Alligator mississippiensis: one gene and its partner. The protein of the gene in region 1 purifies or fractionates together with the protein of each later gene. This does not show direct contact. Links are inferred from orthologs where the notes say so. Each region holds a gene or a part of one and is shown in the gene's direction. Other genes may lie near its edges. The genes, in order: EPC2 and ING3.

The links.
Region 2: the proteins of EPC2 (region 1) and ING3 purify together in Homo sapiens (affinity purification with mass spectrometry; 3 studies listed by BioGRID and IntAct, with this or other methods). This does not show direct contact. The link is inferred for Alligator mississippiensis from reciprocal best matches to the Homo sapiens genes EPC2 and ING3.

What each region holds. Positions count from the first base shown.
Region 1 is NC_081827.1:228,922,237-228,937,718, reverse strand, and holds the start of EPC2 (enhancer of polycomb homolog 2), read left to right. Parts: upstream 1-9,437; 5' UTR 9,438-9,635; coding exon 9,636-9,788; exon of another isoform or gene 9,789-9,804; intron 9,805-15,482. UniProt on the Homo sapiens protein: May play a role in transcription or DNA repair.
Region 2 is NC_081827.1:46,128,495-46,143,225, reverse strand, and holds the start of ING3 (inhibitor of growth protein 3), read left to right. Parts: upstream 1-9,188; 5' UTR 9,189-9,313; coding exon 9,314-9,341; exon of another isoform or gene 9,342-9,344; coding exon of another isoform or gene 9,345-9,345; intron 9,346-9,453; coding exon 9,454-9,525; intron 9,526-14,731. UniProt on the Homo sapiens protein: Component of the NuA4 histone acetyltransferase (HAT) complex which is involved in transcriptional activation of select genes principally by acetylation of nucleosomal histones H4 and H2A.

The sequences.
Region 1 (15,482 bases):
GGATGAAACAGAAAATACAGATTATTTGTGATGATGCCAAAAACTACCTGTATTAATTGTATGCATTCATTAGTTTTAAAACACCCCAAAATGTGTCCTAGTTTCAAAGAATAGAGTTTCATAAGTGCAAATGGCAGTATGCACTGGGGGTGTTTCCTGGTGAAGCTATCCATTGTAACTAGTCCTGGTTACAAACAGAGCAAACCTCCAGTACAGTGGTGGATTAAGATTTATTGGGGCCCTGGACAACGAAAAAATTGGAGGCTCCCACAGCCCAGTGGGGACTCCAGAAGGGAGTGGGACCCCTTCCCCTCCTGGTGCTATCACTGCCAAGGGTGGGGTGGGCCTCCGTGCTCTGTAGAGGAGGCTGGGTGGACCCAGCTGGGCTGGGGGAGGGGTGGCACATGACTGCCTCACCTCCCTGCTCCTCCCCACCTCCCCCCCGCATGGCTGGAATGGTGTGGAGCCGAGCAGGGTGAGGGTGGATGTGGCCTGTCTGCTGCCAGCTCTGGGTCTCCACCTTGCTGCCTTTTCCCTAGAGGCCCTGTGCTGGCCATGCACCCCCTGCCCCCTCAGCAGCAGGAGGCACAACTCACCAGCCCCACTGCTGCTGGATGGGCAGGGGAGTACAGCTGGCACGGAGCGCCCCCAAGGCAAAGGCAGCAGAGCAGAGAGTTGTGAGTCCACAGCGAGCAGCCCACATCCACCCTCTGCATAAATTTGGGAGGGACATGCCACCCATGCCTCCCCTGGGGTGTGCACACTGCAGCCAAGAGATGCCCCCCCCCTCTACCCCCTGGACAAGCTACCTGTGGTTCCATCCTGCTCCCAGCCTTGGCCCCAGGTCCCACACACCACCCTGGCTGGGCAGCATCCTCAACCCCAGCCCCACTCCTTCCCTCACCATGGGGCCTAGGGGCCTCAATCTGCCCCTCCCCATGCCCGTTCTTTCCCCTGCCCCCCCACCCCTCCATAACCTTACCTGCAGGGAGCTGTTCTCCTTGCTGCCTGGCTACATTTCTGGGTGCACATATGCATGTGATGCCCCCTGCGTCCCACTTCCAGCAGCCCCAAGCAAGACCCCTTGCAGCTGGGAATGCTGCCTACCTGCAAGGAGAAACCTGCTGTTATCTGAGGGAACCCAGACGTCTGGGAACCCTAACTGGCAGGGGTCCCTAGGCATGGGCCCCACGAGCCCATGCATTGATCTGCCCATGCTCCAGTAGGGAAAAGGCTTTCATTCCTATTGCAACCACTTCATATGTGTGATTTTGAGAAACTACAGTAAAACATCCTTTAACGTTGTTGAGCATAATACCATTTTTTCATCAAAGGCATTAAGACATCTAAAGCAGTCTCATTCAATCTTTTGAACCCATAGCCCAGATGAGAGGCACGTGGCCTGTCCATGGGTCAGATTGGACCCTGCATGCCAGGGTCAGGCCCTTGCATCTGGGTTGGGCCCTGCACACTGGGATTGAGCATTGTGCAGCCTCTCTCTGGCCTTGTGTGCTGGGATCAGGGCCTTGTGTAGCTTCCATCTGGTCCCCTGCACTGGAATTGGGCTCTGTGCTACATGATCTAGAAGAGTACAGGGCTATGGCCCATGGAGCTCCACGACATGGCACTAGGGGTTGATCTGGCCTGCAGGCTAGGATAGAGCACTTGGGATCTACAGCAATACACATACACAAGATCAGTCACATACCATGAAAAATCCCATATATGCTCTGGAAATCTACTTTGTGGAGGGACCATCATGTGTACCTGATGGTTTTATCCTAGTAGGATAGAAGTGACTAAGAACAAAACCATGTTTAAAACACTGCATTACTGAGTTTGATAGGTTGTAAACAGTATCTTAGTGCCAAATGGGGTAGTTTAAAGTAAATCAATATCTAACGTTCTTAAACTCTTTGAAAAGTGTTCATGTAATAGTGTAACACCACTGAAACTAAATCAAGTCGCACATTAATTCAGTTGTCTGTGTAATTTCCATGTAAAAACCAAATCTTAAATTTTGTAGAAGATTCTTTTTGCAAATTTTCCACATCCTTAGCTAAATATAAGCGTTTCCATTACTGTGTGGTATATATGACATCACTTACAAACATACTTTAAAATAAATCCCTCAAAGTTGGGGAAAACCTTTTCAGATTCAGGAGAAATGGAATGAAATATTCTGAAAAACTAACTTTCCTCCCTTTGCTTATGGCATACTTATTCATAGAAACATAGAATCATAGAAGTAGGGTTGGAAGGGACCTTGTAGATCTTCAGATCCGACCCCCTGCCTGGGCAGGAAGAAAACTGGGCTCAAATGACCCCAGTCAGGTAGGCATCAAGCCGCTTCTTAAAGACCCCCAGGGTAGGAGCCAGCACCACTTCCCTTGGAAGTCGGTTCCAGATCCTAGCCGCCCTGACTGTGAAGTAGTTCCTACGGATGTCTAATCTAAACCTACTCTCCAACAACTTGTGGCCGTTATTCCTTGTTATCCCGGGGGGTGCTTGGGGAAACAAGGTCTCCCCCAAACCCTTCTGGTCCCCCCTAGTGAGTTTATAGACAGACACCAGGTCCCCCCCCAGCCTTCTCTTGTGAAGGCTAAACAGGTTCAGGTCCCGTAGCCTCTCATTGTAGGGTCTGCCCTGTTGTCCCCAGATCATGCGAGTGGCCCTTCTCTGGACCCTCTCAATGTTGTCCACATCCCTCTTGAAGTGGGGTGCCCAGAACTGGACACTACTCCAGCTGTGGCCTGACCAGTGTCGCGTAGAGGGGGAGGATCACCTCCTTGGACCTACTTGAGATGCACCTGTGGATACACGATAAGATCCGGTTAGCCCTGCCAACTGTGACCTCGCATTGTCGGCCCACGTTCATCTTGGAGTCAATGATGACTCCAAGATCCCTTTCTGCCTCCGTGCTCTCAAGAAGGGAGTTTCCCATCTTAAAAGTGTGCTGCTGGTTACTACTGCCCAAGTGCAGCACCCTGCACTTGTCAGTATTGAAACGCATCCTGTTTTTGTTAGCCCACCCCTGCAACCTATCCAGGTCTTTCTGCAGTCTTTCGCTCCCTGCCAACGTGCCCACCTCACCCCAAATTTTGGTATCATCAGCAAATTTGAACAGGTTGCTTTTTACCCCATCATCCAAATCGCTGATAAAGAAATTGAACAGCGCAGGTCCAAGGACTGAGCCCTGGGGGACTCTGCTGTCCACTTCCCCCCAGGTCGAATATGACCCATCCACCACCACCCTCTGAGTATGACCCTTCAGCCAATTCGCAATCCATCTGACCATGTAGGCATCAATGCCACAGTCACCTAGTTTTTTAATGAGGATGGGGTGGTCGACAGTGTCAAAGGCCTTGCTGACATTATTTGAATTACCATGATGCCAAGAGACTCCCAGGTCAGATCAGGGTTTAATTCTGCTTAGTGCTGTACACCAAAGAGAAAATAGGCTGAGGGGTGGGTAAAAATATTTTATCCATGTTTTAAAGATGGGAAATAGAGGCAGAAAAAGTTTAAATGCTTTGCCCCCAGTACCATAAAAAATTGTGGCAGTTGAGAAATTAACTTAGATCTCCTGAGAGCCAGTCCACAATGCCGTACTTAGAAGACCCTAAGGAGTGACTGACTTTTGGTTTTTATTCTTTATCATTTATTTTATTATCCAGTTGCCTGGTAGAAAATGTGGTTCGGTTTAGCTAATTTTTTTATCGTACTATGCGTTGAGTGATTAGATCTACTTTAGGCAGTGGGTAAGATGAGGGTGTATGTCAATTATATAATTTATATACAGACTTTTGCTAGCAAGTCCCTTCAAGAAGGGTATCAGTTGCAGTAGGAGAAACATGTAATTCTGTACTGTGCCATTGTACCTACATAACATGCACAGGGTCTACAGAATTCACGGAGTTCAGTCTCAGTCCTACCTGATTACAAAATTCAGTGAAGCCAAGAATGAAATGCCTCTTGCCTTAAATGATGTCTAGATCAATGGTAGGCAGGGGCAGGTACAGTGGCATGGATGCATCCTTTTCCCCTCTTCCCCTTTCCTCTTCCCCCCAGCCCTCCCCCCTGCCCCCCAACTTTCTGATCACACTGTGGAAGCAGCAGCCAGGTATGTTTTTTTCTATTCATATATTTAATAGATTTCATAGACATTAGGGGCTGGAAGGGACCTCATGAGATCGAGTCCAACCCCCTCCCCCCCCCCCCCCAGGCAGGAAGACAGCTGGGATCAAGTGATCCCAGCAAGAAAAAATATCTAGACATTTTTTGAAAGAGTTCAGAGTAGGTGCTTGCACCACCTCTGGGGGGAGTCTGTTCCAGACTCTGGACACATGCACCATAAAGAACTTTTCCCTTATGTCTAGTCTAAATCAGCCTTCCTGGAGTTTGTGGCCATTAGACCTTGTTATCCCTTGGGGAGCTCTGGTGAACAGGCGTTCTCCCAGGTCCTGATGTACCCCTCTTATATAATTGTAGGCTGCTATCAAGTCACCCCTGAACCTTTTCTTTTCCAAACTGAAGTGTCTCAAATCCCTCAGCCTCTCCTCCTATGGCCTGCCCTCCAGGCATTGGATCATACGAGTGGCTCTCCTCTGGACTCTCTCATGCTTTTCCACATCCCTCCTGAAGTGGGGGGCCCAAAACTGGATGCAGTACTCCAGCTGTGGCCTCACTAAGGCTGAGTAAAGTGGGAGGATGACATCTCTGGTTTTGCTTGAGATGGATCGGTAGATGCACACCAGAGTTTGGCTTGCTTTGCCAGCCACAGCATCGCATTGGTAATTAATATTCATACTGTGGTCAATCAGGACACCCAAGTCTCTTTTGGTTGTGGTGCTATCAAGTGTAGCACTGCCAAGCTTGTGTGTTGATGGTTCTTCCTACTGAGGTGGAGCACCTTACACTTCTCTACATTGAAGACCATCATGTTTTGGTCAGCCCACCTTGACAGCAGGTCCAAGTTGGCCTGTATCCCCAGCCTGTCCTGCGGTGTGACTGCCCGCCCCCATAATTTGGTGTAATTTGCAAATTTGGCCAGCTCACATCCGACTCCCAAATCCAGATCGTTAATGAAGATGTTAAAGAGTACTGGCCCAAGTACCGAGCCCTGAGGGACTCCACTGCTCACCCTGTGCCACATTGATTTGGTTCCATCAACTAGTACTCTTTGGGTCTGATCTTGTAGCCAGTTACCTAGCCATCAGACTGTAAGATGATCAAGGCCACAGTTCCTCAGCTTAGCCATGAGGACACTGTGGGAAACTAGGCTTTCTTGAAATCCAGATATACGACATCTACGTCATCCCCCTTGTCCAGGCTTTGTGTCACCTGGTCACAGAAGGAGATGAGGTTGGTCAGGAAAGACCTGCCAGTCACAAAGCCATGTTGGCTGGCCTTCAGAAGCTTGCCTTCTGTTAGTTTGGTGTTGATGGATCTCTTGACAATTTTATCTAGGATTTTTCCTGGGGTGGATGTCAGACTGATTGGTCTATAATTCCCCGGGTCATCCCTCCTCCCGTTCTTGAAGATAGGAACCACATTGGCCCTTTTCCAGTCTTCTGGGACCTCGCCCGAGCACCATGACTTTTCAAATATCTTTGAGAAGGTGGGGTGTAATGATGTCTTCTGGCTCCTTCGAGGCTCTTGGGTGCATTCTGTCAGGGCCCACGGCCTTGTGAATGTCCAGATTCTCAAAGTGTTCCTTCACCTGATCCACATCAGTTTTGGGCCCGCCACCCGCTCCCAGGCTGGTTAGTGTCCTTTCTGACAATATGATCCCCTTGAGAGGGTGAAAAACCAGTGCAAAAAAATTGTTTAGGAGATTGGCCTTTTCTTGGGCATCGAATGTCAGCTGCCCCGTTTGATCCCACAGGGGCCCAATGCTACTTTTAGTCTTTTTTCAACTTCCCACATATCTGAAGAAGGACTTTTTGTGGTCCTTGATCCCTGAAGCTAGCCTGAGTTCAGTTTGTGCCTTGGCTTTTCTGGACCACTCCCTACAGGTATGGGCGAGTGCTGAGTAGTCCTCTTTGGTGATGCTTCCCATTTTCCAACTGGAGTAGGCTTCCCTTTTGAGTCTAATGAGATCCAGACCCTCCCTTCCCTTCCATCCTAGTGTGTCCCCTCTTCTTCCACCCCCCCCCCCCACACACACACACTGCTGCTGCCACTGTCCCCACTGATGCTGCTGTCCCTTGCTCACTTCAGCCAGGAAGAGGAGTGACAATAGGTAGATTCCTCCGCTCTGCTCCTCTCTGTCTGGTTCCCTCTGCTCCTGCTGTCCCTTGCTCAGCCTGGTTCCAGTGGCTCTGAAGTCCCACTCAACCTGCAACCCTCCCAATTCATTTCACAAGGGAGAGAACTGGACACTCTCACCACCACCACCCAAGATAAGCCAGAGACAGTATCAGCAGTGGGCAGGGGAGGGGGAAAATAAATTGGATCAGACATGCTGCTGAGGATGGAGGGGGACGGGAGAAAGTGCTGAGAGCAGGGTCGGGGACAGGCTTTTTACTAGTTTTGGGGACTTAAAAAAGTCCCTACTCTGCTTGCCTCAGTGCAAGGAGGGAGCTGGGAACAAAAGTGCTGTCATCCCTCCAGTGCCAGTTGCTGTTCCTACACCCCTGTTCACAAAATCCTGGATCCCCCCCACGAGGGTAGACAAGCACTAAGGTTTGCCCATGACCACCACTTGTTCTCTTGGCAGCATGGGGAGAGCATCCACAGCCAGTTTGTTCTATAGTCATGGGCTAAATTCAAGCTGCAGGCCACAGGATGCCAATCTTTAGTCTACATCAGTTATCAAGTGTGTCCATACCTCAGTTGGAAATCTGGTCCGACACCTCTCAAATAAGATGTAAACAAAAGGTCCTGACCATCGCTGGTCATTAAAGAACAAAATAGCATGTCAGAGAGGTGGCAAGGCATTTCACATAAGATTTTATAGATCAAAATCAATACCTTGACCATGGAGTAAATAATTATCTGGAACATTAGAAGTATTCAAGGCTTGTACACCTTGAGTTATTTAGGCATAGCTTTATTTTAATAACTTTGTGAGATACCCTTACTCCTTACATCCTACCCTTACTCTGTGGAGTAAGGATTCCTGTTCCTATGTAGGTTAGCCCAAAGAGCATTTAGAATTAAGCTAAACAGAAGCAAATTATCATTATCCCAGAAAAAGTGTCAGCAACAAATTTAAAAAAATGCATGTGCATGAATAACTTACAAGCCGTGGGAAGCAGTACAAAATAAACAGGTACCTGCCTTCTGCTTTCCCTGAAGCTTCTGGATGCTCTTCACAGCCAAATACCTACATGTAGAGAGCTAAGGGAAAAAGATATGCCTGGGTAACTACAAGATTGTCTTCACTACAGTGTTAATATGAGAGCGAATTCAACATTTAGCCTTGCCTGACTCTCCTATGCACATACATACATCTTGAGTTTGAGTTAAATAGTGCTTTAAACTGCAGCTGGCTTGCATGTCAGGACAAGCTGTTGATGCTGAGGCTGGAGCTAATAATACAGTGGGGACTAGGCTACTCTGGTGCTAATCCACTCACTCTGTACTGCTCCCCTGTTAGTACTCTCACTCCATCTAGGCTAATGAGAGAAGTTAACTCAAGCACACATTAAAGCTGCAGTGACAATGAGCTTTTGTGGTGGTGCTACGAACTTCCATTTTTTTGATCCCAAGATACAGGTACCGCGAAAGCTAGGTACTGTAGCCTCACTATGAAGGAACTTCTTCCTGACAGGAATATGTAGGGTTGATCTCATCAATTTTTACTGTGTGGTAAAGAAAAAATGTTTAGACTTTACTACAGTCTTACCTTGGGATCACTCATGCTTGTGGTTACCTCCAGGTACAAAATCACACCTTTTTAGCAGGGAAGTCAAGCGTTAAGTCTCTCAGGGCTCTGTCACCTGTGGGTGCAATCCAGGCCTCAGTGAAGGGAAAAATCACTCCAAAATTTCAGTGGGGACATGTGGACACTATCCTTCACTGTGGGCTAGGTGCACGTTTTTTTAAGCTATTAGCTAATGTATACCACAAAAAGGGGGGTTACATCAGTAGCACTTCTCACTGTTGTAACCCTTTTGCTCTCCTACTCTACTCCCCTCCCCACCCCCCCTTTTTTTTGCTGCTGGTTCTTCCTGTATTAGGTTAGAAACAACCTCTGGGTGCCCCTGAGGACAAGCCCCTTACAGCTACACGCACCAGCTCTGTAAACTCAAAGTCACTTCATCAGAGGCCATGAAGAGACAGGGTCAAGCCATGTCCACTTCATATCGCGTGCTCTGTTGTCCTTTCATGGCCTCTGAACTGAGGTGTAGTTCACCAGAGCTACTCTCTCTCTCTCTCTCTCTCTCTAATCTGCTTCAGTCAGTCAGTAAGTTGTGCATCCCCACTGCCTTCTGCCTCAGGTGGCAAACTCTGTTCCTGCCTGTGAGGAGCAGTTGGGCTGAGCAGCTCCTCTGAGATGTGTGCCCATGGCCAGGACTCCGACTGTAGTGGTCTCTGGCACAGGACTTACCCGCTATCTGCAGCACCCACATGCACCAGGGATCGTCTACCCCAGGACTGTTCAGTGGAGTCTACATATGATGTATGTGTGTGTTCATGCACGCACAGCTGTGCACACCTGTGTGGGTGCACGTTGCGCAAGCTGCATGTGTGCTTACACACATGTACATGTGCATGTGTGCAGTTGTACACACGTTTGCCTCCAACTTGCACATGTGCACACCTGCATATGCACAGCTTTGCACTTGTGTATGTGTACATGTATACATTGTGTGCATCTATATATTTGCGTGTAGCTGTGCACACCTGTGCATGTGTGTACATGTGCACAAACACTGTGCAAAGCCACGTGGGTGCATTCACAAAAAGAAATACTGCAACCAGCCCATAGTTGGTAAGTTTTATTAATAAAAGAGTTGTCATCTCAATACCAGAGAGAGAGAACGGTAAGCTATTTTCAAAACACTGCTAAATATGAATTGGGAAGATGGTATTAGTCAAGGTGTGCACGTCTGTGTGCATAGTTATGAGTGAGTGGGTGGTGTGCACACGTGCTGTGCACATCTGTGTATGTGCGCAACCTGTGTGTGTGTGCGCCACTGTGTGCCTGTGCATGCTGTGCACCCCTGGGTGTGTATGCGTGCTTGCCCGCGCTGTGCACACCTGTGTGCCTGCGCAGGGGCAAGGACAACTCCAGAGTGCGGGCCCAGGGCTGCCTCCCGCACGCTCTATCCCCGGCCGGCTGCGCGCGCAGCGCTCTTCCCCCCCCCCCCCCCCAACTCCCCCCCCCTCCCGCCCGCGCCGCTCCCCCTCCCCCCGCGCTCTCGCGGTGGCTGCCGGGATCGCTGGCCGCTTTGGTTAATGTCCGCCATGTTGGCCATGGCGCAGGGAGCGGAGCGGGCGAGCCCGGCGCGGATCTAGGGCTGCGGGGCGCGCGCTGGGAGCGGCGGGCGGCTCTGCGGGAGCTGGTCCGGGGCGGCGGGGCCCCCCATGGTGCGGCGGGCCGGGCGCGGGAGCCGGCAGGCGGCGGCGCGGCCGCACTGAGCCCCCCGCCCGCCGCCGCGGGCTGTTATTGTGAGGGGGAGACAATGAGCAAACTCTCCTTCCGCGCCCGGGCGCTAGACGCCGCCAAACCGCTGCCCATCTACCGCGGCAAGGACATGCCCGACCTCAACGACTGCGTCTCCATCAACCGGGCGGTGCCGCAGATGCCCACGGGCATGGAGAAGGAGGAGGAATCGGTAAGGGAGCCGCGCAGGGGGGGCACCATTGTTTATCAGCCGCCCCCCCTCCCCTCACGGGAAATAGGCCATTGGCATTCACCAAGCGCACTACGCACGCTCCCCGCCGCAGCGCCCCGCGCTCCTGACGGGGCCCTGCGCAAACAGCGCAGCGTCAAGCCCGCTCCGGCGCCGTAAGCGGGCCCTGCTCCGCCATCTTCTTTGCGTCCGGACTCGCGAGTGTTTTGATGAGCGGCAGGGGGAGGCCCTTACGCTAGCGTAGAGCGGGAGAGAGGCGCAAGACGCGTCTCTGAATGGCGAGGTGTGCGCGTCGGCCGCAGTTGGCGTAGCGGCCTGGGGCTGCTGCTGCTGGTTTCCCCGCGCTTGCGGCGTCCGGGCCGACGGCGGCGGCAGGTCTCGGGCGGGCACGGCGGGGTTGCAGCTGTCACGGGCTGGGGTCCCACTCGGGCAGACGAGAGGAGGCATGGCCTGTTCCGCAGCTGAAGAGACCTCACCTGGCCTATCATGCCAGGTCCGTCACCTCGGCCTCCGCAGCTTGGGGTGCGGGATGCAGCAGCTCCTGCCATCCCAGCCCGCAGGAATCTCCTTCACTTGTCATAGCAAGCACCGCTTTGCGCACTTCGCCCTAGGGGTACCTGGATCCCAGCTGCTGTCTTGCAAGCGGTCGCATTGAAGTGCCCGGTTGCTCCTGTGAGAAGTGGCTACTTGCTCTTTGAGGAATGGCAGTAGGTGTTGTGGGCCACATGGCGCATGTTGAATGAGGGCCGGCTGTGGCTGCAGAGCTGCAGCTGGGTCCTGACTGCCCTGTGCGTTATAGTGTTTAGTGTGGCCAGTCATGAACTTGTGCTGCATGTGAAATGTTTGCTGTGCCTTGCTGTAGCGCTGCAGGTGGAGGTGGTGTCTGTGTCTTTGCACGAGGGTAAGGTCTTGTGGGAGTTAGGACAGTACTGCCACAAAGCTGATTGCTGTCCATAATTGCAGTGCTGCTTCGGTGAGCTTGCTGTTGCTGTCCGTAAAGGCTGACTTCGGCATTCATTTGGTTGGTGTCTTGCTCACACCAGCGGTCCCTTATATGGTTGTACTTGCACTCAGAATTGATAGTAAATGAACCCTCAAGAATTTCTTCAATGAATCTCTGCTGCCGCCTGGTAGTCAACCCGCTGTGGATGTGGATTGGCTTTTCAGAGGTGGTAGCTGTCAAAAGGAAGGTTCTGCGTTTCTGATTGGCTTCCCTATTTGACTGCTAATATTGAAAAAGATCTTTTGTATCTTCCATTGGTTACTTATAGTTATGACCTCATTGTATTTTTCATGGTATTACAATGTTTATAATGTATCGGTTTCACTGCTTCTTGATCCTCTAAGTGTGTTTTGATCTTGTTAGAGAATGAAATTGTCCTACCATCCATGAGTGTATTTAGAACAGAGAGAACATTCCTAGTACCAGCTTGGGGAAGGATACGCCTCTTTCACTTTCAGGAAGATCTAACTATCTTTTTACTTTTAAAGAAGATACATTAATAGCCATTTAATTTCTGTGTTGATAGTTTATTATATTTTTGTGAAGCATGGGAGGTATGTTTATAAATACAGGTATATATTAAAAAACCAGGAGTTTCTAAATTTTAAAATCAAACGTCTCAGATATTTAGGCTTAAGAATAACTTCACTGAAGGGTGAATGATGCATGCATATGCACATGTGTACACAGCAGTGTACACACTTGTTAAAAAAAATCTCTTGTAATAACAGAATCCATACACATTAAAAAATAAATAAAATCTGCTTGTCTTAGAATGGAGGTTTGCCGTTGTACCATTCAGTTAATCTAATTGCAGCAATGTTATACAAATATTCTAATGCCAGACTGCAATACTGTCACATTGACTGCTTCACAATGTACAAGTATTTCCATTGAATTCTTTGGGACTGCTGGTGGTGTCAGGTAATTTTCAGTGTAGGGTACTGCAACCTGACCCTGAATATTACAGTCTTCCCAATTCAGATTCACAGGTTATTTTCAAAATACCTACCTTCTCTATATCTTATCTTTGGGGCAAAAGTTTTATTAATAAAACTTACAGACTATGTTCGCATTGCTATATTTCTTTTTGTTTATGACCCCCATCAGAGTTCTGGAGTCGGGATGTCTAGTACATTTCGGTGCGCTAGCACCCATAACTTTAAGATTAAGAGTTGAGTCAAATTCTGTCACTTATTTGCATAAATCTAAACTAATTAGCATTTGAATTTAATCTGGATTTATATCATAACTGACAATAGAATTTGGCTCTATTTTGTTTAGTTTTAGAATTTGGGAGAGAGTCAGTGGTTCAAATTCTTCAGCTACTGTGCTGGAAATGTACTTTATCATATTAGCAAACATTGCTGTCATAAAGGGAATTTATTTTAGTACTGCAACACTTAATGTAGGTCTTAGTTTATAACTACCCAGTCTGATCTGAATGCATATTTTTGAAGTCTGTTGTGTTTCTACATTTTTAGGTAAAAACTCATGTTTAATAATAAGGCAAGACGACTTCACTAGTGAGTGAAGGTATTAAGAAGTGGATTTGACTTTCTTTATGTAGTTTCAAGCACAAAAGTATCACAGTAATAATTGATAGCTTTGGGCACTTTAGGTGCTATTGTAGAAGTAACTCAGAATTTTAGGTTTCAGCATTCATTCATTTGTAACTAGGTTAGGCACTTAAGTATGAACTTAGAGATTAAGCAGAGCAGAAACCCAAGTTAAGGATATATTTAAAAATGCAGAAAGGAGTAAGAATGCAAAAAAAAAAAATCTTATTTACTTGGTTTAAGGTATTTTATCATTATTCATAATTACATGATTGCTTACATGAGAGTTTTGAAAGGAAGGGAGAGGGTTAAATTAAACTTAAATTTTGTCCCCTAGTTTGCCTTTGTGTCCATTTTTAAATTTCATTACAGTGTTTTGAACACTTGGCTTCTGATAGGTTTTTTTACTATATTACCTGCTTGGAACTAGTAGTATTTCCAAAGCAGCGTACTTGTTCTTTTAATTGAGGCTCTTATGTCGGAGTGCTTTCATCTTTAAAAAATCATACTTGTAATGACAACAAAAACATTTAGAAAAAGTAACACTGAAAGTTACTATAACAGAAAGAAACGAAGGAAATCTGTATGATCATTTCTTTATCTTTTGCATTTGGCAGCATTCTATTTTTAGTTTTAATGCTTTCTTGCTTTATTCATATAGTTAGGTACCAGTCCTATGATTAAATTATTTCAGGTAGATCCTTATATCTGAAGAGATTTTAAGTGAAATCATGGGGCCCTCCATAAATCTGGTTGCAAGATCAGACCCAGTACTCATTCCTCCCTCCTGCTCTTAGTGTGTGTGTTGTGGGGAGGGAAGTTACAATGTCTCTATGACCATTAACTTACTAACACTGGCAGAGGAGGCTCAGAAGTAGCCTTAAACAGCTTGCCAAATCGGCTGTTGTATTGACCGGGTTGCTAGTTGACCAAGGTACTTTTGTAAATGTCATTGACAGTCGCCGATTCCTCTTGAACATTTTCCTCAAACTTTTGTTAGTTTAGTCCCTCTTCAGGAAAATTGAAATCGGTCATCCCTTGCTTTGACCTCTCTCATCTATTGATAAAATCCTTGTTAATGTGATAATCTCTAAATCACACACGTTCTTCAGAGTTCTTCTCCCATCTTTGGGAAATGATAACATAGATCTTCATAATCTGATACTTCTTTCTTGCATATTGTGAGCAGTGAAATAGTTAATAGTGTTGATGCATGTAAAATTATCTAGCTCTTCCAGACTTTATCAGGTGGATAACTATGCTGTCATCTCCAATCAAAAAATACTGGACTAATTGGTAATTACCACTGATTTTCAGCAGGGGTGTTCCTTCTCCCCCTTGTTTTATGTTGCTCTGCAGCAGACCTCTGCTACAGAAACTTGAATTCTGTGGATAGATCATATGTTTGAAGATCTTGAGTTTGCTGCTGATATTTTTCTTTGAAAACATCAATAAATAAAAGGTAGCCATAGGCTGATAACCTAGCCAAGATTGCTAAATAAACAAAAACAAGAGTTATGGAAGTCTTTTTGACCTTGGATGATTCCATCATTCCCAGAGGAGTGGCTTTGAACTGTTGATAAGTTCACTCACCTAGACACAGTGCTTTTTCAGAACTGTGGTGATTGAATCCATGATATAAGAGCTTCATTGTAGGTAACGCCACCACTGCTTTTCAGAAGATCACTCATATATGGAGGTCTGACAGCACTAGCACAAAGCTGCAAATCTTCAGTAATAATGGACTAAGCAAGCTTCTATACGGGTCAGCTCATAAAGGGACATGTCTGTCTCTCTTTCTCTGTGGTCTTGCAGGCTTCCAGGGCCTAGAATGGCCTTAACTACAGCCTTCCATCTCCTCCTGTCTTATGCTGTCTCCTTCCACCTTGTCACATCTTTACCAGATCATTTTCTCATTGCCTTGGTCTTTCTTGAGATCTGATATCCTCCTCAGCTTCCAAAATCTGCCTCGTGTACTGTCAGTTCTTGTGATATGCCCTGCCCATTTGATTATCTGTGCTCTTATCTTGCTTGAGCCATCAGGTCCCCTGTAAAAGTTCACAAGCTCTTTATTATGTTCAGTGAAAATTGGACAGCTTTCAGAGTGGAGGCCTGCTCTGCGTATTCTACCTAACCACTTTCCTCTGAACAGAAATGTCAAAAACCTGTTTTTTGACTGGTGGGGGGGGAATAATACAGCAATTCTCCTGTTCTAGAGAATATAGAAAGACTGCAACTGGTCCAAGAGTTTGGAACAGTAGGGATTCCTATTTGAAATCTTTGGGTTTACCTTGTGAATCATGTTTGTACTCTTAACTATGTTATGTTGTATAGTACCTCACAGCACCCTTGGAAGGATCTCAAGGCACCCTAGTTGGGAATTACTGATCTACAGGCTTTCTGCTTACTTCATTGGTCAGTGTTTTTAGAGTATCTACCAGTTACTTTAAGAATGCATAGATTTCAAATCATAGAAACTTTGTATTTTGATTTAAAAGTTTTGGTAGCTGACACTAGGATACTACTCAGCCACTGACTTCTGTGATTGAAAGCAAGTCATTTGCTGTGTCTTTGTCTATTACACATACTTAACAGGTTTTCCTTAAGGATAAAATGATGTTTGGGAACACTGGTTCAACATTACTAAATGTATAAAAATATTAAATATATTTATTAAACAAAATGATAACTCAGGATTGTTTCTTGTATACCACAGTTCTTTAATCATACTCTAAGATCGTGTGAGCCTGTCTTTTCTCATTAGACTATGATCTATCTATATATAAAATCTGTGTTTCTCACCCCGTAGTACTGAGTGGACAGAAGCCTTCAAAGGTTTTTGGTTTTATATTGGCTCTTGTTTACAGTTTGTTTATACTTCTGATTTTCAAAATTTGATGTTGAACCTTTTCTCAAGGTGACAAGCAAGTGTTTTAGTCATTCCTCACTGAATGATCTGTGCTGTGGTGCAGCACTACAAGGTTGTTGTTTTTTTTTAATGTTTTGTTATTGTAAGCCTGTATCCCTCTTAGCAAAAGCTGTGTGTATGTAGTAAACAGACCTATTTTATCTGTTTGTGGATAGTCATTATTAAACAAAAGTATTTTTTTAAAA
Region 2 (14,731 bases), about 180 Mb from region 1:
TATCAACAAATCTTATCTGCTGAGGAAGAGTCAGCCTGGTATTTGTAAAGGTAAATCCTGCCTCACCAATCTGCTGGAGTTCTTTGAGGATGTCAACACGCACACGAACAAGGGGGATCTAGTTGACATAATATATTTGGAGTTTCAAAAAGCTTTCAAGCTTATCCCTCACCAAAGGTTTTTTTTTTTTAAACTGTGCTGTCATAGGATTAGAGCCCCTACCCCCATAGTTTGCAAGCATCCCCAACAGCTTGCAGTGGGCAGGTTATCGGGGAGCTGTAGCCTTCAATCAATCATTGCATTTGTAGCCTTCAATCAATAATAATGTCACCATCTTGACAAGTCCCTCAAACTATTTCCCCCTTCTGTTTTCTCTGAATTATCTTTGGGATTAGGAAAGATTCTGAGAGGGGTGAAAGTCACTATCCTTGCAGAGTCCGCTTCTCTTTTCCCTCCACACCTGCAGGACCTCATCCCTACAGAATCTCTCTTCAGCAGGGCTGGGCAAAAGAGAGACAATGTCATAAAGTTAGTGCTTCTGTCTCTTCTATGCTCATTTTAGGATGGGTTAGCATTCTGAGTTGCTCCCACTCACAGAGATCAAGGAAGCAAGTCAGTGTCATAAAAAATAGGCATGAATATCAGTTCTGACAATTTAAAAGACAAGAAGTATATTTCACTACAAATAAACAGCAAAATGCATTTGAAAATACTGCTTTTTATTAACAGTGACATTCCTAAGCATCCCATCTTACTGAAAAAGAGACGTAATTTATTACTTTGTCAGTAATAAGGGAGTCCAGCGTAGGAGGTTTTAAACCAGTTTCCAAACTGTTTCAGGCAGCTTCAACAGACATTTAAAAAAGCACTTTAGCTGTAAATGTATAAACAGTGACCACTCATATCCTGCAGACCTGCAGGAAACAGCTGAAATCTGCAAGTAAATTCAACAGAGTCTGTGGCAGATAAAATTAACTAAAAGATGAGGATGTAATTGCCTGAGTCAGTACAGAGTGAAGCTTGAAGATAAATGGCAGTTCCATTTTCCTGTCGACTATTAAAGTAAATTAATTATCTGAAGCGATGTATTTATTTTCTGAAATAGCAATGTGAAATAAAGAATTTGCAAGAGTTTCTAACATGTAGAAAAGTTGGTTACTCTGCAATCACAATACTTATGGGCCTAGTTTGCCTTTTTGAGGATGATTTCTGAGAAGCGTGAAGTTTCTATCAATCACTCCATAGGTCAAGGGCAATGCTATTTATCTGATTTTCTTTCTCTGCTTCTGTAAGATCTAGCTTTAGATGGAGTTTTTCATTTAATAAAATTACTCATAAAGTTTCATAAAGGTACTCAGTCTCAAGAGAATTATTGAATTGATGTTCCCCAATGGCTGTACAGTGCAGCACCAGTGCAATGACAGTTACTTCCTCTGTACTGAGAAGAATACACCAGGAGAAGAGATGGACTATTGGAAATGGTAGGATCATGACAACTGAAAGTAATAGTTAAATTAGAGAGAAAGAAAAGAGAACTGGAAAGAGTGGAAAGACCGCAGCAAGAGGCAAGGCTGTCTTCTGAGCAGAAGATGCAGCAAGGGACAGGAAATGAAGAAAAATGAAAATAAAATAGGGAAAATAGCAATGGGCCTGATTCTGCAGTTCTTACTCAGGTAAAACTTTGCACACTGGCCCTCAGCAGCAAATTGTCACTGGAGCTGTAAATGGTTCTTGCTTCATTTGACAGAATTCCTATAGTACAGCTGTGGAAAGTGTCATATATCGTTGAAAAAAATGCACCAGCATTTGAGGGACCTCTCAGCCTGGTATTTGTCCACAGGCTCTGGTTGTCCCATTGCCCTAGTGTAGCTTGGTTACCTATGAGCCTTTGAAAGTATTCCTGTAAGAACAAAATCTATACTTCTAGATAGGCAGCAATTATTTACACTAGAGCTTGGTCCAAGTAGTGGCCCGTGAGGGGTTAAGGCGCTCAGCTCTTGTCCAGGTGCTCCTCCACCCACTTCTGGGCTCCAGGATCCTCTTCCCTCCTATAGCTTTCTCTGCCTGCATCCAATGCAGGGTGCATGGTGCAGTGGGGAAGGATGTACAATGCAACATTGCAGGGGAATGGGCACTCCATGTAGTGGAGGGGCAGGTACCCATTACAGTTGAGGGAATACCCATGCAGTGCAGGAGGCGGGTGGTGTCCACACAGCATGTGGCCCACAGGGCCCATAGTTTGTCCAGGTTCCTGTAAGACAAGGGGAGAAGCCCATAGGGGCTGCACCCTTTTGGTGTCACCCACAGGGCATTTGGCCCCCAGCTGCTTAGAAATTGGACAACCCCAGCTTACACCACATCAGACGCTTCTGGTTATGATTGGGAGCAGACTGACAACTGATACTCAGTAAGACGTCCAAGCACAGGCAAAAAGCTGTAGTTATTCCAACCCTACAGCCTCAGCCTAATTTTGGACTAGGCCACTGGATTCTGTCTACTAGACTTGGCAGAAAGAAACGGTACAAAGAGGGAACCCAGAAATATAATGGTAAGAAGAGAAAGAAGTTGATAATGAGATGACTGGAGCAGTAAATGGGGAGAGAAAATCTGAAGTCAGAGAGGTAAAGAGAATGGATCTGACAGGGGTGTGCAGAAACAGGCAAGCTGGAATGAAGAGCTACAATGAGGAAGATATGATAAGAAATTCTGGAAATAGTGAAGACAAACCTGAGATGGAAGACAGCTAGAAAGGGACAGAAGAACTGAAAAGGGACCAGAGGGAGATTAAGAAAGACTTTTTAAAATTTTTATTTTTAAGTTGATGAAATGCTTTTAAATGTGCATAAGAATATTTCATCATATGCAAACATATAAGTTATTCACTTTTCTAATCAGTTATGATTCCATTAATAGAAAAAAGAGATTTTTTTCATGCAATTTGCTTTGAGTCACAGAAAAACAGTAATATTCTTTAGGTATAGTGTAGCATGCTAATAGAGGTGACAATATGCAATTTATGTGGAATGCTTGCAGGACAAATGCCATTAATATCAGTAATTTTGCCATATAAATCATTCATAGGAAATGGCAGCTCTTATGGCCTCCACTCCTCTGTACTAAACAGTTTGATTGTTCTTTGGCATGTTTGAGCAGCATGGAATGAATTCAGTAGCTGAATCTTCTTTTTTCTCAAGTTCATGAATGTTTCACAGTTGGGGTTCAGTTTTCTTTGAAGTTTATTTGCATCTCAATAAGCTCTGTCACTAATCTATTTTTCCTTAATTGTAGGCAATTAGGATGCTATAAAAGCCAGGTTAGTCAATAGAGTTAATTCTCCACATTTATGTACAATGGGAAGTTTTTCATCTTTAAAAAAAGTCTCTTTTTATGGCCTTAACTCATTCTATTTAAAAAATCAAATTATAGCTCAGTTCTACCACTCTTACCTGTGAGCAGGATCTATTTGCATGTAAATCTCATGGAACTAATTCTGACTATTCATATTATCTGACTACCTAATATGAATAAAACAACAGAAATGAAACTGTAGTGAAAAATGTGAGACTCTAGAGACAAAATTCACATTGAAAAAGCTAAGGGCAGATACTCTTGTTCCTATATACCTCTTAATAGATACTGAACCAGATAGATCCTACATTCACATTCTTAAAACCCCATTGTTGATTGTATCAGAAGACTGATTTTGACCTGAACTGAGTTGTCTAAACAGTAACTCAAGCTCCTGTCCCAAAATACTATAATACTCACTCTTCTTGAAGGAGAAAAAACAAATTCATATTAATTTTACAAGAGCTGTTAATATTCTCACTTTAAAAAAAGACATGGTATGACAAACATTTTTAAAAAATGACTTCATGTCCCCAAATTTCCCAAAACTCATTCAGCTTTTCTCTAAAGAAAACAGGATACAACTATCTTAACCTAAGATTTTGGGCTGAGTTTTCTTTTAATGTGAAGCCCTTTGACTTCAGTGAGTAGATAAAGATTCATCAATCCTCAGCTGCAGAAAGGATCAGAGTCTTAGTCCCCTGCACAACAAATTGTGTAGAAACAATTTTGTGTAGAAACAGGCTTCCTTTCCTGTCTCATTTTTGTTAAGTATCGGCATGCTATTCCTTCTGTAATGAAAATGACTCATTTAACTAGCTTGCTCTCATTTAATGGAGTTCTCTGACAACTTATAGCTGCTCTTCAATTAATTACTTAAGTTAATTTTATATCGTCATTTTAGAATCAGAGGTTGATAACACTGTGACCTTTCTGTAGAATTCAATGCATTCAATGAATTGAACTTATATTTAATAATGCAAAGCAGCTGGTTAAGATTATATATGAAGGACTTTATAAGTAAAATTTTTTGAGCCCAGTTTTCCTCCTGCCCAGGCAGGGGGTCAGACTCAAAGATCTACAAGGTCCCTTCTGACCCTACTTCTATGATTTTATGAAAATGGGTTTCCTCATTTATCTTAAAATGTCTCATGACAATCATCAATATTTGTCATTTTAGCTCCATGCATTGCACTTGGACAATGGGGTGTTTCCTGTAAGCAATATGGTACAGAGCTTGTCATCTAGGACAGTGATTCTCAACCATGCTGCTGTGGCATCCTAAAGCAGGGTTGGGCAAAATGCAGCCTGGGGGCTGGGTACGGCCCGCCAGGCCATTCTATCCAGCCCGCGGGGCCATTAAAACATTTAGAAAATTAATATTTATCTGCCTCTGGCTGCCTATCATGCAGCCCTCGTTGGCTTGCCAAAACTCAGTAAGCAGCCCTCCACCCAAACTAATTGCCCACCCCTGCCCTAGAGTGTCATGACATTCTTTTAAGGGTGCCACAGGGTTCCATGCAATACTAGCACTGTTAGGTGTGTAAACACCCACAAATGATTCATTAGATAAAGCCAGAGATTTCGAATAGGAATTCATAGTGTCAAGAGGATTCTTATTGCAGTTTTTCTGAGTTATTTGCAATGAAAGAATTGCTCTATTATTTTTTTTGTAGTAAAAAATGAGTGAAAGCTGAAAGCTGGCATTTTCTGAGGATGCCTCAAGTCTAAAAAGTTTGAGAATCACTGATCTAGGCCTTCTGGTTAATTGCAAAAGTATGATGTAATTTCTACCTAACAACTGTTCAATGACTGACATGGAATTAGCCAATGCTCTCAATCCAATTTTCCATGTATAAATGTACTCACCACAGAAATGCCAGAAGATACCAACTGTTAGTCATTGGATGTCTTTGCAGAATGGCCAAGGGTGGGATGTGTATGAAAAATGGGTGCTTAAATGCATGTGGAAGTGCCGGCGGCAAAACCAGAAATGCTGCTGGCACTTCTCTCAGGCGGTGCACCTCTATGCATCACCAATGCTTAAATGCAATCTTTCTTGAAGAAATCAACATTCATTGTTCTCAGACCTTTTTAGAAAAGCCTCTGTAGGTCACCACAATATAGGACTTTTTAAAATGTCTTTTTTTTTTTTTTTACATAATGTTTGTCCAAAAATAGTGAAAAGAAAACTATTTTCCACATATCCCAGATAAAAAAAAAATATGTCTGAGATTTAAAATTCAAATGTATTTTAACTAGTTATACATCAAAACTCTTTAAAAACAAGAAAAGTATCTGTTCTGCCACAATGGACTGGAGAAGGACTAACATAATACCCATCTCTAAAAAGGGGGTGGGAAATTACAGATCAGCTTTCCTGACTTCAATACCTGGGAAGTTACTGGAATAAACAATAAAACAGCCAGTTTGTAAACACCTGAAGGAAGAAGAGGTGATCACTAGTATCTGGCATGTATTTGCTAAGTGCAAAACATGTCAAACTATTGTGATTCCTTTCTTTGACAGGATAACTAGTTTGACAGACATAATGTACTTTGACTTTAGTAAGGTCTTGGTAGGTCCTACATGGCATTCTTATAAGTAAATTAGAGAAATAAGGGCTAGATAAAATCACTGCTAAGTCGAAACATAACTGGCTAAATAACCACAAGAAGAGAGTTACTATAAATGAATCAATGTCAGAACAGCCCAAAGTCTCACAGGGGTCTGTTATGTATCCTGTACTGTTTGACATTTTTATTAATAATCTGAAGGAACAGCAAGTTTCTCAATCAAGTTACAGAGGACATACAAGTGGGACGGCTTGCAAACTTTCTACAGGACAGAACAGGCCATAGCCTGGAGTTCCTCTCCTTTTCCTTCCTCTGCTCTCTCGTCTGCTTTGAGGGCAGGATGCTTTACCTTGAAACAGGCAACTGCTTGGTTGAGGCTGTGGCATCACTGGAGTCTGTTGGCAGCCAGCTGCTCCGAGCTCTTGATGCTGTCATCCATTTGTTCAGGTATGCCTTTAATGTGTCCTTGTAGAATTTCCTCTGGTCACTGCGATCTCTCAGGCCATAAGTGAACGGGGAGTAGATCACTTGTTTTGTAAGCTGAGAGCCAGACATCCACACACAATGCCCAGACCAGGGAAGTTGGTGCTTGAGGATTACTGACTCAAGCTGGTAACACTGGCTTTAGCAAGGATGCTGGTGTTTGTATGGCAATCTTCCTATTTGATGTGGAGAATTTTTCCAGGTGCATTATTGGTAATACCTATCTAGGCTCTTGAGATGACAATGGTAGGTCATTCTCATTTCACATCCATAGAGAGAAGTGGGAATGATGACTGCATTGTAGACCTGGATCTCGGTGTCTTTCTGGAGATCACAGTGAATAAAGATAGGCTGCAGCAATTTTCCAAGGGAGGCACTTGTGTACCAGATCCCGTGCTGCAGTAGCAACACATAGCGGGTGAATGGGGGTGCATGTGCACCCCCTGAGCACGCTGGTGCACCCTGTGACCAGCCACACTCCCCACTTAGGCAATGAGCGGGGGGCCGGGGGGGGGGGTGGCAGGCAGGAGCACCAATGTACCCCCTGCAAATGCTGGCCAGAGAGTGGGGGAGCCGATGTAGCACCATGGCCACTTCCAGAAGCACTGCAGCCACTTCCAGGTCAGCAAGTTTTTCTGCGGGGGAACTCTTACCCCCCAGGTGGCAAGATTGGCTGCGATTGCTGACTGGTCACTGGCACGTGCCCCCCCTGACTAAGACGGCACCAGTTGCCCATGCTGTGCTGGATCTCCTCATCAGTGTTCACTCTCTGAGAGGTAGCTACTGAGGTAGGGGAAGTTCTTGAATACCTCCTAGGTCTTTCCCTCAATGGTAATTTGGGTCATATTCATGGCCTGCAATGGGCTGATAGACCACTTCTTCTCGATATTGAGAGGGAGACCCAAAGTTCGGTAGGCTTTTGCAAAGAGATCTGGTGTGGTCTGGAGGTTTTCCTCAATGTATGCAAGGATGGCACACTTGTCAGAAGGTGGATGTTTTCAGAACTTTGGTCTTTGAGGGAAAACATCCCAAATTGAAGAGTACTCCATCCGTTTGATATTCAGTGTCAGTTCTGGAAGTAAGGTGGTCCTTAATGAGAACCAGGATGACTGTCAAAAAAATGGAGATCAGCATTAGAGTAACGATGCATCCTTGCTCGACTGCAGTTCAGATGACACATGGATCTGTTTCTGATCTGCTGCAAAGACTGCTCGTAGTCGTCTGGTCATGGAGAAGGCGTAGAACCTTGAAGAACTTTTCAGAAGTCAGTACTTTCCACAGGGGTTTGTGACTGGTGGTCACAATCAGAGGCCTTAGTAAGCTCACTGAAGGCCATGTACAGGTCCTGATATTGCTGAATGAAGCCAATGTTACCAGTATTAAGGTAGTGATACTCAAGCACCAACTTTGCTGGACCAGACATTGGATGTACATACAAAGCTCACAGAAGTTAATCGCAGTCCACTGACTTTATGTCAGGCCCATTTCATGTTTTGTTATATACACCAGTGTACCATTAGATATGAAAAAGGAGCTATTCATGACAGCATATGAAATGGGTACATACTGCATGGCATTTGTACAAAAAAAAGTGTGCAAGTTATATATATTGTCATCTCATGTGGTATTAGTGTCATATTATCAATCTTACATATTAAGAAATAACAACAACCAAAAATGTATATATATCACAAAAATGTTGACTTTATTCTCATGCCTGAAAAGGGCATTTTGTGCTTGAAACCTTGTTTAACACATATGCAAATTGTAAGATTTTAAATAATACTGTATTTCAGGTTCCTTTTATGTAGCTTCTAATTTTGGGGAGCAGATGGGGGGCAAGGGAGGCTTTAAGGCACTTTGATTCAGTACCTCAGGCACATCAAAAGCAGCAAATTTAGATTGACTTCCAGTTCTGTCTCATATACCCCAGAATTCTGCGCTATTGTAGGAATATTTGCAGAAATTGGGTGGCAAATTCTGAACGCAGAAGTGATTGATGAAGGCAGTGAATGCAATGAAACCTACTATGGAGCTCTGCTCCAAGGACTTTTTTGCATTGAAGAATGTGGGGGGCTTAACATGTGGTGCGATGCGTTAGCCAGGGTTTGAATGACACTCTGACTCTTTGTGTGGGGGGTCTGTGGCAGTGGCAGCCGGAAGCTGGAAGAAGCCACTGCCGTTGCCTTAAGTGCTTAGAAAGGCACGGGGTGGGCTGGGGGCCCTCATCTTTTTTTGGGGGGGGGGCGCTCTTGTCTCTTATGGGGACCCCCCCGTAATTCAAACCCTAGTGTCAACCAGGAGGGCTAGAAATATATGTAAAAAACTGAAAGCTGAGATCCTCCTGAAATAACATGACCCCAGGAGCTAGAGCTCTCAGGAACAGGAGCGGGGGCACCTCCAAAAGAGATTGAGAGGTAGCAACTCCAACTTCCAGGAGGGAAAAACCCTATGTCAACTATGAGGGCTAGAAATATATGAAAAGCTGAGCTCCTCCTAAAAAAACGTGACCCATTCAGATGTGCTTCAGGCCTTTGGGGCAGGAATACGAGCGAGTCACTGAGAAGCTCCACTTTGCCGCCCTGCACTTGGCACCGCAAGAACTTCCACTGTCCTGCCGCGCGGGATGAGGCCCCAGCTGGGCGCGGAGCCTCCTGGGACATGTAGTCCCCGCCCCCTTCCCCGCCGGGGTCCCCAGCGCGACTACACGTCCCAGGATGCTGCGGGGCCCGGGTACGTCAGCGCGGGCGGCAGCCAATCGCAACGCGGTTAAGGCGAGTGCCCGCCGCCGCCAATGTTGTTTTCGCTGAGTCGAGCTGCTGGCGTTGTTGGCGGCGGCGCCATATTGGAAGGGACGAGCCCGTTAGCGAGGAGCCCCTGGGCGCGGGCCCGGCCCGGCCGCCGCCATGCTGTATCTGGAGGACTATCTGGAGAGTGAGTGCGTGCGGCGGGGGGGGGGGACGGCGGCGCGGTGCGGGGGCGAGGGCGGCGCGGCGGCTCCCCTGCCTCCGGCGGCGGCTGACCCCCTCCCCCCGTGTGCCCGCAGTGATCGAGCAGCTTCCCATGGATCTGCGCGACAGGTTCACCGAGATGCGCGAGATGGACCTGCAGGTGCAGAGTACGTGAGTCCCGCCCCGCCCCGCCCCGCGCTCCCCTCCCCCCTCCTCCCCGCCCGCGGGGGGCGGGCCCAGCTCCAGCCCCCGCCCCACGCTCGGCCCCGGGCGCTGCCCCGCGGGGAGGCGGTGCCGCCGCTGCTGCTGCCGGGGCCGCGCGCAAAGAGGGGCGGAGCGCTGGAGCCCCGCGTGCAGGCGGTCCCCGGGGGCGGCGCTGCTGCCCTGCCGCTTCTCCTGGCAGCGGCTGGGTGCCCGCGTGGGGGCAGCAGCGCCAGGCTGCGCTTCCCCGGGGCGGCAGAGAGCTGCTGAGCGGAGTCTCCACGTGGGAGACCAGAAGACCCAGGAGGGGGCGACACTGCCTGGTCCTGTCTGCAGCTTTTTTTCCCCCTCCTTCTCCTTCTTCCTCCTCCTCCCTGTTTTATTCTTCAGTTTCATTGCCGTGTTGTTGCTTTGCATGGACTTGCTTGATTTCTACTTGGGGTCACCAAGTCTGTTTGAATCTGTTCCAGGAGGCTTCATCACATGATGTAATGACAGTCAGGAAGGCAAATGCACATGACTGTTGCGTTTTAAAAACCCACTGGACAACTGTATAAATCAGAGGTTGACACTTAAACGATAGGGCATTTATTAAAAGAAATATTATCTCCTGGGTGACTCAGCAGTCTCCTGGAAATTTATCTCCAATTCCTGGAGGGTTGGCAACTCTATTTCAACCCCACCTGCCTTGTCACCTTGGTGGCACCCATATGCAACCTCATGCCTGCTGTGGGCTGACACCTCAGTTACAGCACGAGGTCTTGGTGTTTGCGCTGGTGTCTGGACTGTGAAATAGCATTTCTATTTCTCTGGTCCTCGAGATCATCCCGTTCTTCCTGGGTGAGATCCCAGTCCACAACTCCAAACTTTGTGTTGCCAGCAAATAGCGTTTATGCATCCCATGCTCCGTCTTTTTCAGGCTACAGTGCTTGAAATCCATGGGACTCCACTCATGATATGAGGCAATGTGTTCTTTTAAAGAGTAAGGCAGAACTAAGAGTAAACAAGCTCAAGTTGAGACCACATGAGTGGCAGAATATGTTTGGGGAGCTGGCCAAATCACATCTATTCATCCTCAAAGTTTTAGTCCCACTTTTAATGCTTTTTTTTTTTTCTCTTGTGCTGTGTCAGGTACTAAATCTCTTCACAGAAACTCTTGATAAACCTGAAGAAGGGTGTTTGTGCCTGAAAGTTTGCAAAGAACAATTTTTCCTACTACTCAGTTGGTCTAATACAGGAGCGGGCAATTATTTCAGGCAGAGGGCCACTTACCGAGTTTTGGCAAGCTGTAGAGGTCCGCATGGGTAGCTTCGTTCCTTGCCAGGTGCCCCGCTCCCTGGTCACCATCTTGGGACTGGAAGTCCCACCTGCTTAACCTCTGACCTTTGCCACCAGAAGTCCCTCTCCTTGCCCCTGCAAGTACTCCTTTGGGGAAGAGGGTTTGCCATCTAAGGTGGTGGTGGAAATAAATTATATAGTAAAAGTCAGGCACCCATAATGATATATTTTAATTTAATTTAAAAAAATATTATTATCTGATTTGTGTGTGTTTGTGCTATATATGTAGAAGTGATTGCATAAAAGCTCAAAATACAGTCGTATACTGTGTCGGGTGTGCATGGGTGTCAGGAGGTATGGGGTAGGTGGTTTGTGGGGAGCTTTGTGTGGTTGGGTATGGGGGTTTGTTGGGATGTCTCTGGGTATGGTATTGTGGGTATGGGAGACACAGGGTGCAGAGCGGCCAGCGGGTGGGCAGGAAAGTGGGCATTTCCCTGCTTGCATCCCCCTGTTCTCAGCTGTGCGCAGGAGTGGAGGGTCCTGCCCAGCCTGGCGCGGTCCTGGTGCATGGGCAGCACCTTATTGGGCTCATCCATCACCGTGGGAGCAGGACAGAGCACACAGAGCCAGCTGCCTCCCTCTTGGGGCTGCCCTGCTGCCTACACGTAACTACCGGTAGCGGAAGCCACGGCTCCCATCTGGCTGCGCACACCCACTCGCTCCTAGCCCCGCCAGCCCTAGCCCTGTGGCACAGGCAGGGATGACTGCAAGCAGCCCTGACCCCACGTGCCCCACCCTCGCCTGTGGGCTGAGCACCGTTGGCAGTGGGGAACAAGCTGCTGCTCAGCATGAGAGAAAAGTAGCCATTCCCCCTCCTGCCACCTGTGCTCCCTGTGGCAGCCGCCCAGAGCCCATGCAGGGCTGTCCTGCCTCTCCTCTGTGCCCCTGCCACCCATGGGGCAACTGTGGCAATGGAGAACGGGCACAGGCAGCCCCACGTGGCCTCCAAGCAGATGTTGCAGGGAGTGCCAGTGGCGGGAGGGGGAGGGACCGCTTTTCCCCTCAGTTGCAGTTTGTTCCTCACTGCTGCTGCCAGCCTGGGCCCTGCACTGGCTCCAGGCTCGCCCATCAGGCTGAGTAGTAGCAGGGCACGAACTGCTGCCAGGGCAAATGAAAATACACCCCCCTTACCACCTCTGGGCTGTGTTTGCTGGGGGAGCCCACACCATGCTAGGCTCCGCTGCAGCTCTTTTGCTGCCGGCTCTGTGCTGCCCAGTGCTGCTGCTTCACGTGGCCACAGAGCTGGCGGCAAAAGAGCCACAGCAGAGCCTAGCGTGGAGCAGGCTCCAGCAAACTGCCCAGCGGAAGGGGGAGTGCTTTTCCTCTGCACTCAGCTGCACTTTGTTTGTCACCGCTGTTGTCAGCCTGGGCGCCGCAGCGGCTCCAGGTTCACTCAGTGGCCTGAGCAGCAGCAGTGGCAGAGCACGAAAAGCTGCTGGAGCGGCAGAAAAGCAGCTGCTTCACCTCCCACCACCGGTGCTCCCTGTGGCAGCTGCTTGGAGCCCACACAGGGCTACCTGTGCTCTCTCTCCACTGCCACCACTGCTCCATGGGTGGTGGGGACATGGTGGACAGACAGGATAGCCCCAAATGGGCAGGGAATGCTGGCAGCAGGAGGGGGAGGGGCAGCTTTTCCCTCTTGCTGAACTATTGGCTTGCTCCCTGCTGCTGCTGTTGCTCAGCCCGGATGGACGAGCACAGGGTGTGCAGGATCAGTGCTGTTTGCGGTCATTCCCACCTGTGCCCGCCACGGGGCTGGGAGCAAGCAGGCACGTGGCAGCTGGGCAGGAGTGTGGGACCTGTGCCAGTGCCAGCACCGGCATGGCCCAGAGCAGGCGACAAGAGTGCAGGGTCCCAGCTGGCTGGGGCTCTTTGGAGCTGGGCCAGCTCCCCTCTCCCTGCTGGCACAGTGGAGCCCAGCTCCATAGACCCCTGCCATCCTACACCCCATGTTCCTGCCACTTGCTCTGGGCCCTGCCAGCGCTGGCCCCGGGACACTGGCATAGGCCCCACACTCCTGCACGCCTGCCCCCACTACCACTTTCCCCACTTCCTCTTTTTACCTGAATTTCCTTCTCAGGGGCTTCTGGTTGTGGGGTGGGTCTGGGTGGACCCTGCTATTGCAGGAGCCTGCTGGGGCTTCCCCTGGGTCCTACTGCCCCTGGCTGTTGTCATCTTTGACAGACAGCTGGGGCAGACAAATATTAATTTTCTAAATTTTTTTTAGGGGCTCCACAGGCCAGATAGGATTTGGCCCATGGGCCATATTTTGCCCACCCCTGGTCTAATACAAGATATCACATTTACCTAAAGAACCTTGTGTGCCTTCATAAACACAACATTTAGGCCCTGGAAGTCTGTAGGAAATGTTTTGACATGCACCTTGTGTTCCCAGTAACTTTTGCATAGCAAGAGAGAGCATCTTTAAGCATTGTAGAAATTTCAGGCTCCTTTCTCATCTCTTCTGGTCTAAGTACTTGTGAGGATTCCCACCAGTTAAATGCTATAGATAAACCAGAAGAATCTTCTGGCAGTGCAGAATTCCATATTTCCACATTTTGAACAACTGTTTAGTCAGCTGACTCCTAAGTTAGTGATGGCTCAGAAATCTGCAGGTGCTGCGACTCGAGCACCTGGCCAAAAACTTCTCTCCATTAGAATTTGAGCTGCTCTTGGATCATATCTTGCACCAGCTAATGAAGGGGTATTTCTTGCCACCAAGCAGTAATGGAAAAAGTGTAAGTAGCAGGTTACAACTATTCCATTTGAGATAACCATGGCGATATTGAAGCTCAGCTGAATTGTATCCAGACTTTTGAGCCTTGAAGTGGAGATTTTTCAAGTGAAGTATTTATTGTCTTTCTGGCTTTCCATCCAGAGTGGATGGATGGTCAAGAAGAAGCTTGTGCACTAGAGAGTAACTCCTTTGAAGATTTGAGAAAGCAAGGGTAGAAAAGTCACCCCCCGTTCTCTTGGGTTCCAGTTACCCACACGAAAAAGGGTGCTTGCCTTTACTTTAAGGACAACCTTCTAGAGGCATGACACACTTCAAAGGGATTCACTTTTCACTTGACATCTTATCTGGCCTCAATGGTATTAGCACAGACAAAGGTCCTAACGATTTTTTTTAATGTTGAAAAAAGTCACTGTCAGTCATGTGAAGACCTCATTGTCTGGAAAAAGAATTAGTGACTTCAGGCCTTTACGTTGTAAGCTAGTGGTTTTTTGCCCAAGAAGACATCGTGCATAGTGGAGCATTTGAATAACTGACTTGTCTTCAAGATTTACAGAGGGCCATTTCCCAAAAGGACTTAAAGTAAGAATAGCAATTTTATTTTTGCAGTGCTTACAGGTAGCATGAACCCACTGTTATGGTTCAGTGATAGAATCCTTGCCTGTCATGCAGGAGATCTGGGTTCAACTCAGATGCACATACAACTACAGCCATCAAGGTGCTGAATGTCTAGACTTGGTCTGGCCTTTGGAATCTGTCTCAGTGGTCTAACGGAGAGATGGAAGGTCTGGGAAGCTGCTGCTTCTCCATACTCCTGCCTAGGCATACACATCAAAAGTTCTGGTGAAGGTCCTCTCATGCATACACCATGATCCAGAAAGATTAAGGTTTGCTTACCACAGGTAGCATGCATCCTTGTCTTGGGCAGCACATAAACTACTTCACTAGGCTCTGAGTCTTAAGATCTAAGTCAGTTTGTGATCATGGTAGACTTCTGTTTCTGCAGCATCTGCACTTCTGTTTCTGCACCAAATTCCTTAAGGACCTCTATACTTCTGATAAAAGTTAAGGAAAGTGTGTCTTGAGTCATTTCATTTAGT